Linked DNA regions of Drosophila melanogaster. The gene in region 1 interacts genetically with each later gene. Each region holds a gene or a part of one and is shown on either strand. Other genes may lie near its edges.

What was found. Genes that interact genetically often act in the same process or in processes that back each other up.
Region 2: of l(1)sc (region 1) and Hr3, changing one enhances a phenotype caused by changing the other (phenotypic enhancement), as found in Drosophila melanogaster (one study listed by BioGRID).

Annotation. Positions count from the first base shown.
Region 1 is NC_004354.4:408,037-411,369, forward strand, and holds l(1)sc (lethal of scute), read left to right. Parts: upstream 1-1,684; 5' UTR 1,685-1,759; coding exon 1,760-2,533; 3' UTR 2,534-2,781; downstream 2,782-3,333. UniProt on the Drosophila melanogaster protein: AS-C proteins are involved in the determination of the neuronal precursors in the peripheral nervous system and the central nervous system.
Region 2 is NT_033778.4:10,231,556-10,236,215, forward strand, and holds the start of Hr3 (hormone receptor 3), read right to left. Parts: upstream 3,053-4,660; 5' UTR 2,658-3,052; coding exon of another isoform or gene 2,319-2,657; 5' UTR 1,757-2,318; coding exon of another isoform or gene 1,226-1,756; coding exon 469-1,225; intron 1-468. Other genes in the region: CG12912 (uncharacterized protein), read right to left, coding at 2,319-2,657. UniProt on the Drosophila melanogaster protein: Putative receptor whose ligand is not yet known.

The sequences.
Region 1 (3,333 bases):
TTTTAAAAACCAATTATTAGGTAAATGGTGTTTTTTTTTTTTTTTTTTTTTTGCTTTATTATGATTTTCAGCGTTCATTCTTGTGGGATCAATTTCCTCTAATTTTCTGATCTCCTTTAGGGCAGCTGCTTATGGCTTTTTTTAAGATTTTATGCATTTATGGGAGCAATCTCGTAACTCGACTTATCCGTCTTCGGTAACGGTATTGCCTTCCCATTGCAACAAAGTTGCAAGTTGCGAATCCAGAAATTTGTTTCAGATTCAGCTCCTTACAGATTTATGAATGCTTAATTTAATTGCAGGGGGATTGTTGGTAAACGGAATAACTTTACTTTCTTGGACTGGGCATAATAAGTCACAACCCTACAGCAAGCAGCAAATAAATAAAGACATAACATTTTTTAAAGCTTTTTGAAATACTAATTTGCTAGTCAAATAACATTTAAAGACCTTTTTTAATGCTTTTCGACATACTAATTTGATAATTTAGAACTAAACCTGATTATGAGTGATGTCTTGATATTAAAGCAACACAAATGCTTCATGCTTTAAAATCAAAACTGCCATTCGATTTTTAGAAGTATTCCACGAAATAATTATCTTTAAAAGAAAATATTTATTCAATAATGCAACACTATCAAAATATTTTCCCAAAAAAATATTTTAAATTGCATCGTAGCCTTAATACGATTTAATGAGTTATGCAAATTAATTGAATTCAGTTTTTGTTTGTTCATACAAGACATATATTAACCAGTCAGAAATATTACATTTTTTGTCGAGTGCACAGCCCAAATTTAGATCGCTTTCTTGTATCACAAGCGTTTGATGAAAGGGTAAGAGTGTTTCGACTGCAACTTTGATCCCAACTGCTGTCAATATTCAATGCCTTTGTGATGGTTTCGTTTTTATTTGTCTGGCCGTCCCCTTACTTATTATAGTACGCTTGGTATTCATGATACAGCACACACTTGTGGGATTTTGTCTGCGCCGCTCTGCGATGTTATGTATCATTGTTTTGAAGCTTATGCTAATGCACCGGACTGATCGGAAGCACGTGTCAAATGCAGATGGGTCAGAAAAAATATTAATGAAGGTTCATAACATTACAGGATATAAAAGTGGATACGCAGTTTTAAAGACAGTGAAAGTCCCACGACATGGTCTTTTAAGTTTGTTTCTTTTGCCTTCGCATCATTTTCTTTCATTTGATGGATCACATTTTATATCAAATTCCCTTCCAAGATCTCACTCTCCTTTATTTTTCGCTTTCAATGCAAACGACATTCGACAAAAGTGGAAGTGCATTCAAAATCTTTTTTTTTAGCCATGACAAGGATCTTGCAGATCTGAGATTTAAAATTTTCCCAAAAGGAAAAAATGCATTATGTAGACGGACACAAAGGACAAAGAGTGTGTGGGAGAGGGAAAAGGATGGGTAGGTAGGCACACAGAGACTGAGTAGGAATAGAGGCACCCACCACAGAAAAAGAACCCCTAGAAAGAGAGGAAAAATGTACGATCACTTGTGCAAAGGACTTAGGTCCCGGTTTTTCGAGGGCAGGTAGCCAGGATCCGACCCCGTACCAACCCCTGTAGCTCCTCTGCCGAAGTCGCTGCCTCTGTCGCGGCGCGTTTCCCTCTGCCACTGCCGGGTATTTAAAGCCCTAGATCAGAACAGCAATTATCATTGCGGAATCTGATTCCACACAGTCAACATCTGTAAACTAAATCTTAGAAAACTCTCGCAAGGATTACCATGACGAGCATTTGCAGCAGCAAATTCCAGCAGCAGCATTACCAGCTGACCAACAGTAACATTTTCTTGCTGCAACATCAGCATCACCATCAAACGCAGCAGCACCAGTTGATTGCTCCGAAAATACCTTTGGGTACCAGCCAACTGCAGAATATGCAGCAGAGTCAACAGTCCAATGTTGGACCCATGTTGTCCTCCCAGAAGAAGAAGTTCAACTACAATAACATGCCCTATGGCGAGCAATTGCCATCGGTAGCCAGACGAAATGCCCGTGAACGCAATCGCGTGAAGCAGGTGAACAATGGATTCGTCAATCTCCGCCAGCATTTGCCTCAAACTGTGGTAAACTCGCTGTCCAATGGAGGACGTGGTAGCAGCAAGAAGTTATCCAAGGTGGACACACTGCGAATCGCCGTTGAATATATTCGAGGACTACAGGACATGCTTGATGATGGCACTGCTTCATCAACTCGTCACATCTACAATTCCGCCGATGAAAGTAGCAACGATGGCAGCAGCTATAACGATTACAACGATAGTTTGGACAGTTCGCAACAGTTCTTGACGGGAGCCACCCAGTCTGCCCAATCCCACTCGTACCACTCCGCCTCGCCCACGCCGTCGTACTCCGGATCCGAGATTTCCGGAGGTGGCTATATCAAACAGGAACTACAAGAGCAGGACCTCAAATTCGACTCCTTTGATAGCTTCAGTGACGAGCAGCCAGATGACGAGGAGCTACTCGATTATATTTCATCTTGGCAAGAGCAGTGAAGGGGTCTTACTAAAAGTCCCAAACAAACAAATATTGTACAAACTGTAAATACCCTAAATTGTTGCCTTAGTGAGTGTAAAACCAAGTCTCAAATTTCACATTAGCCTCTAAGTTACCCCATATTTTTTTTTATTATATTTTAACGCAATGGAAGACATATTTTTTTCATAGTTATAAGTTTGTTATAAGCATGGAAGACACTAAACTAACTACTTTTAAGCCAAAATAAAAACATATTGATAAATTTAATTCCAAATGTTTTTTACTGAAATCACTTACTCGTAAATATATTCAGATCGTCATGTAGGGTAATTACAACGAGTTCTCGTTCTCATACCAGCATCAGAGCCAAAAAGGTTTTTAAACAATCTGCATTTTGAAGCATTGCTTTGACTATATATATGTTATGATATTCGTTTTTAATTTATGTATTTTTATATTATTATTATTATTTTTTAGCTTAGCTGTTTTGGCCTCAGGCTTAATAATGGTACTAGCGATAGAAATAATAATTTCACAAAAAAGTTACCCAATTTATTATTTATATTCAATTACTTTTGGAGCGTGGACATGACTCACTCAAAATTCGTAACCAACATAGAGTTAAGCACCTGACAGGAAACAACAGCGAATATTTTCATGATTGGTTCCCTAACGAGCTACAATTCGGCCGGGAATTGTTAATGGCGCGTAAATAGCCCGGAAATAGGCAGTCACGCCTGAGAGGATGAAATTGTCCTAGTCCAAGGATCAGTACTTGAAGACTCGCACAATCCACGTGGCTGGCGCACACCGCCAC
Region 2 (4,660 bases), on another chromosome or scaffold:
GTGTCAGCCTGTTAATTGCCGCTGCCTGGGATGCTTGCGCAATGGGCGAGCGTTCATTTGCATAGCTCGGATTCTGGCGTGGAATGGGGAAGGGGGAAGGGGGAGGGGATCTGGGGGATATGGGTGCGATTATCTGAACCATCGCTGATCGTTGGTGGTCGCTCTGGGCGAGTGCTCACTGTGCTGTGGTTAGCCGGCGGTTGTTCGCAACAAGTGGAATTCTTGCCGAGTTTTCTGGGGTGCGAACTCATCACTCGCGGGAATCCTTGACTTAAGGTCTTTCAAATATTTGCTACAATCACTCACAATGGCTTAGTAAAATTCTTTAACGTTTGTTAAGAGCAAGAGTGACGAAGAACATTGCTTTTGCATATGAAGATATATTATTGGTAGATATATTATCGTCTCGAACAGTATATATATTCCCAAATTGACTAAAATATAATTGAGAGTTGCACTGGAACATACCTGTCATGGCTCCATTACTGCCGCTGCTGCTGCTGCTGTGCTCTCTGCTGTTTTCTCTGGCCGATGTTGCTGTTGCACTTGCTGTTGCTGCTGATGTTGCTGCGGCTGCAGATGTTGCTGATGTTGCTGTTGTTGTGGCAGCGGGCTTGTGAGTCGTGAGCGGTGGCATTGGTGGAGGAGTTCGCTCCTTTGTGCGTTTTAGGGAGCCCTCCTGGCTGGTATTGCTGGCCATGTTCTTGCACACGGAACTGATATTGCTGATGCTGCTAAAGCTGCTGAGACTGCTGAAGCTGCTGGAGCGTGCCAATGCCGGTGGATCCGATAGGAATTTCACCTGCTGCTGCTGCTGTTGCTGCTGCTGTTGTGGCCGCGACTGTGCTGGCCTGGTGGTCGCCAATCTCTTGGGCGCCGGAGGCTCTGGTTCAGTCTCATCCTCGGGCTCGCCCTCCGCCTTTAGCTCAGCCTCGAGCTCGTTTTCCAAGTCCGGCTGCACGGTGGCTATGATGGTGCCGTCCTCGTTGGCCTGCTCGAAGCAGACGTCCAGCAAGGTGGCTCCGCCACCGGCCTGTAGGCCGGCAATATCCTTGAGATCTATCCAACTGGCGCCCAGCTTATCAGCATCGCTGAGGGGCAAGCTCAGTACTCTCGTGTCGCCCTCGTCCACGATGTGGAAGGATTGCGTGGGCTCGATCTTGACGATGATGGGCTGGTTGGCCAGGATTTGGGCGGGTGGCGCACTGCCCAGCAAACTGGCCATGTTCTCCTCCTCCTCGTCGGCGGCCTCCAGTTCGCTGAGCTGCTGCTCGATCTGCAGGTAGGTATTACTGCTGGAGTTGGCTGCCACACCCGACTGCTGCTTCAGTACGTCCAGTTTGAGGACCGTGCACTTGTCGGTCTGCTGGTACTGGTGCTGCTGCTGGGGTCGTGGCAGCAGTGTCAGGGCGGGAGCACCCGATGTTCCAGAACCTTCCGTTATAAAGGCCAATGGTGGAGACGTGCCCGTGGATTTGGTGGACACACTCCGCGACGACTGGATCAGCTGGGGCAGTGCTGGCGGTGCTCCTCCACTGCCGCCAGTGCCAGAGGCACCGCTACCACTGCGTGCCACAATGGTGGTCGAGACGGGCAGCGGGATTATTGAGATGGAGGGCACCTTGCTGCGCAGATTGGCCACCGCCGCTGCTGTGGCGGCATCGGTGCCGATATACGTTGGACCACCGCTGGAGGATTTGCTGCCGCCGGCGGGCTTGGCCTGCTGTATCAGCAGGAGATCTCTGGGCCTATCCGTTGTGGCGGCCGTTTACTCACAAAGGCTCTCAAATGTCCGGATTTCGCCTTCGCTTAAAACACTAAACACTCACACTTTCACTTGGTTCATTGCTTGAATTTCTTGGGTTCTTTTATGCTTGTATTTGTTACTTGTTATATTTGGTTTTTTTTTTGGGTGTAGAAGCACAACATCGAAATAAATTGAAAATCAGCCTTACGAAAGTGCACTTAAAAAATTGTCGACTAAACAAGTTCATTCATACTGCATTGCCTCGATTGCTTGTCAATTGGTGTAGATACCCCAGAGGGGGTGGCCTAATGAGGGGCTGAGGGTTCGAAAAGGGGGGGGAGTGGGCTTTTAGGGGCGTAGTGGGGTCTGCAGATGCACCTGTGCGTTTCGTTTCGTTCGGTTCGTTTTTGGTTCGTTTTGCAGCTGGAAATACGCGTCGTATACTTAACGTAACTTTGTGCGATGCATAGAGTTCGACATTCCGATTAATGCTTTCCACTTGTGTTGGTTTTTGAGTAAATTTTGGGCTAGTCTTTTCGGTTTTGGGTTGTGTTTAACTTTACTTTACTGCCTAATATGCAGCAATTGTTGCTGTGCTTCGGTGACTGAGCCTGCTTCTGTATCTGTGTCCTCCGCGTTTGCCTGTGGTCGTTGTCATCCTCGTTTTCGTATCCTGCTGCTGCTGCTGTTGTTGCTGCTGTTGCTGTTGCTGCTGCTGCTGCTGCTGATGTTGCTGCTGCTGTTGCTGTTGCTGCTGCACATGCAACGCGTCGCCGCTGGATGGCTGCAAGGCTGCGCTGCAGCATTCGGTAGTGTCAGCGCCATTGGAACCCGACCACGTCAAAACAGTTGGAAGTGTGCCTCTGGATCTGGATGTGGATGTGCCAATGTTGCTGTTGATTTCCCACATCGCGGCACGCAACCCTATGCAACCACCACCCCAAGCACCACCTCCATCCTCACGGCAACAACAACCACCAGCTGTGTGGAAAGTGGCTTTAATAATCGATTTTTCAGCGGCACACTTGCGAATCAATATTTGGCAAACAGGAGCAGCGCTGCAGCTTTCCCTTTTCCTAATCGGATTTCTATCCCTTTAGCTTCGATATTAATTAAGCACTGTGTTCAATTTTGTTTCACTTTTGGCTGGTTTGTGGATTTCACTGTTTCAATATTTGTATTTTCACTTTCAGAGATTTGTGGCTAAATGCACCGCGCGCGTTTTTTTGTGACTCCTTTTTGTCGATTTTGCGAAGCAGCTGACCGGAGCTGCGTCCTTTACAGGAATGTGTCCCAAATTCGAGTGCCACAAACACAGTTCGTTCTGCCGCTGCACAAACTTTCCGTTTCGTGGGGGTTGCGCCTCAGTTTCTGGGAAAAGGAAAATCCGAGTGTGTGTGTGCGTGTGTATCCGCATGCAAGTTGAAAAATGGGACTCGCTGCGAACTGCTGCGAAAATAGGGTTAGTAGGCATAATGCCAAGTGCATAGCCAGGAAAAACTGGAAGCCACAACACGAAGGAAAACGAGCACAGTCGAACGAACGTTTGTTGCGCAGCTTTTCCACCCCTAAAACTCTCAGTGGGGGCGGGGGCGGGCTAAGGGCCAGGAAAATTCCCGTCGTGGTGATAAAGCGTCATGGGAAATTTCTGCACGCTCGAGGTGGAAATTCCAAGGGCGGAAAATTTTGAATGAGTCTTCTGGGCTTGACTTTCGACATTTACTCAACTAACAACTGAAACTGCCATTTATAATATTTGTAAAAATTCATAAAATTAGTTAATAAAAAATCAACTATGATATATATTTTTATATATACATGTTTAAAAAGAAACATATTTGGTAAACAAATATTTTCTTTTGTTATGCATTTAAATAGTGCATAAGATATGTAATTCATGGTTAACCCCTCGTTTATAAACCAAATTTGTAGAACACGGATAAACTATAGATGCAGTAGTAAGTCATTATATATACGAAGTCTTGTCTACTACAAGCTGTGTAAAGATAATATACATGTATTTATAATTATATAGTATGTATATAAAAAGCTTTAAAGTGTCATAAATAGTATGAACATTGGCACATATATATTTTTAAATGAGTCATAAAATGCGCATTTTTAGTGCTCTCAAAACTACAAGAATGCACTAAAATGTTAAGCTCGCTAATTAAAGCTGCCAATGCCAATTTGGGCAAAAACCAATCAAAGAACAGCTATGACCACAATGACCCTCGAGTCAAGAATGCCCAAAAAAAGGGGCGAACCGAGAACATCTCGGCCATTGGCCAACAGACGGGGCAAATTTGAACTAATCGCCCAACTGGGCCCCAGCCCAACCGATCGGATCGAGCCATCATTAGGGCGGGGAGGGGAGTGGGGGAATTGGGTGGCATAGGGCCAAACTTCTTATAGAGGAGGGTCGATGATGGCGAACGGAGCGACCACCGTTAGGACGGATTCGGATTCTGATTCGGAGCCAAGACTCAAGCATCGGCATTAATATTTCATGTTTTTCCGTTGCTTAAATCATGTTAGATTTATTCTGCGCCGCATTCAGCTGCCGCTTGCGCAACAACAATCAAGAGCTAACTGGTAACTGGTAACTGGTTGGTGGTTCTGCCAACCAGCTTACTAGCAGCTTGCAGCTAAACTTGGCTAAAACACCGTTGGTTCTAACGTGAACGCGAAATGTGTGCCTCACCGTTGTAAACTTCTTGCGGCGGCTGTTGCCTCATCATCTATTGCAAGTCTGTGCCGATTCTAACCTGTTTTCTCTGCAGAAACTCTCCGAAAAAGTCCCGTAAGAAAGTCCCAGTTATTCAAGAGGAAAAACCTGTTACACGCAACTGGCTCAGAGAGCTGATTGCCAAGAAAATGGAGACGGAGAAAAGCAAAGAACAGAACAGAATC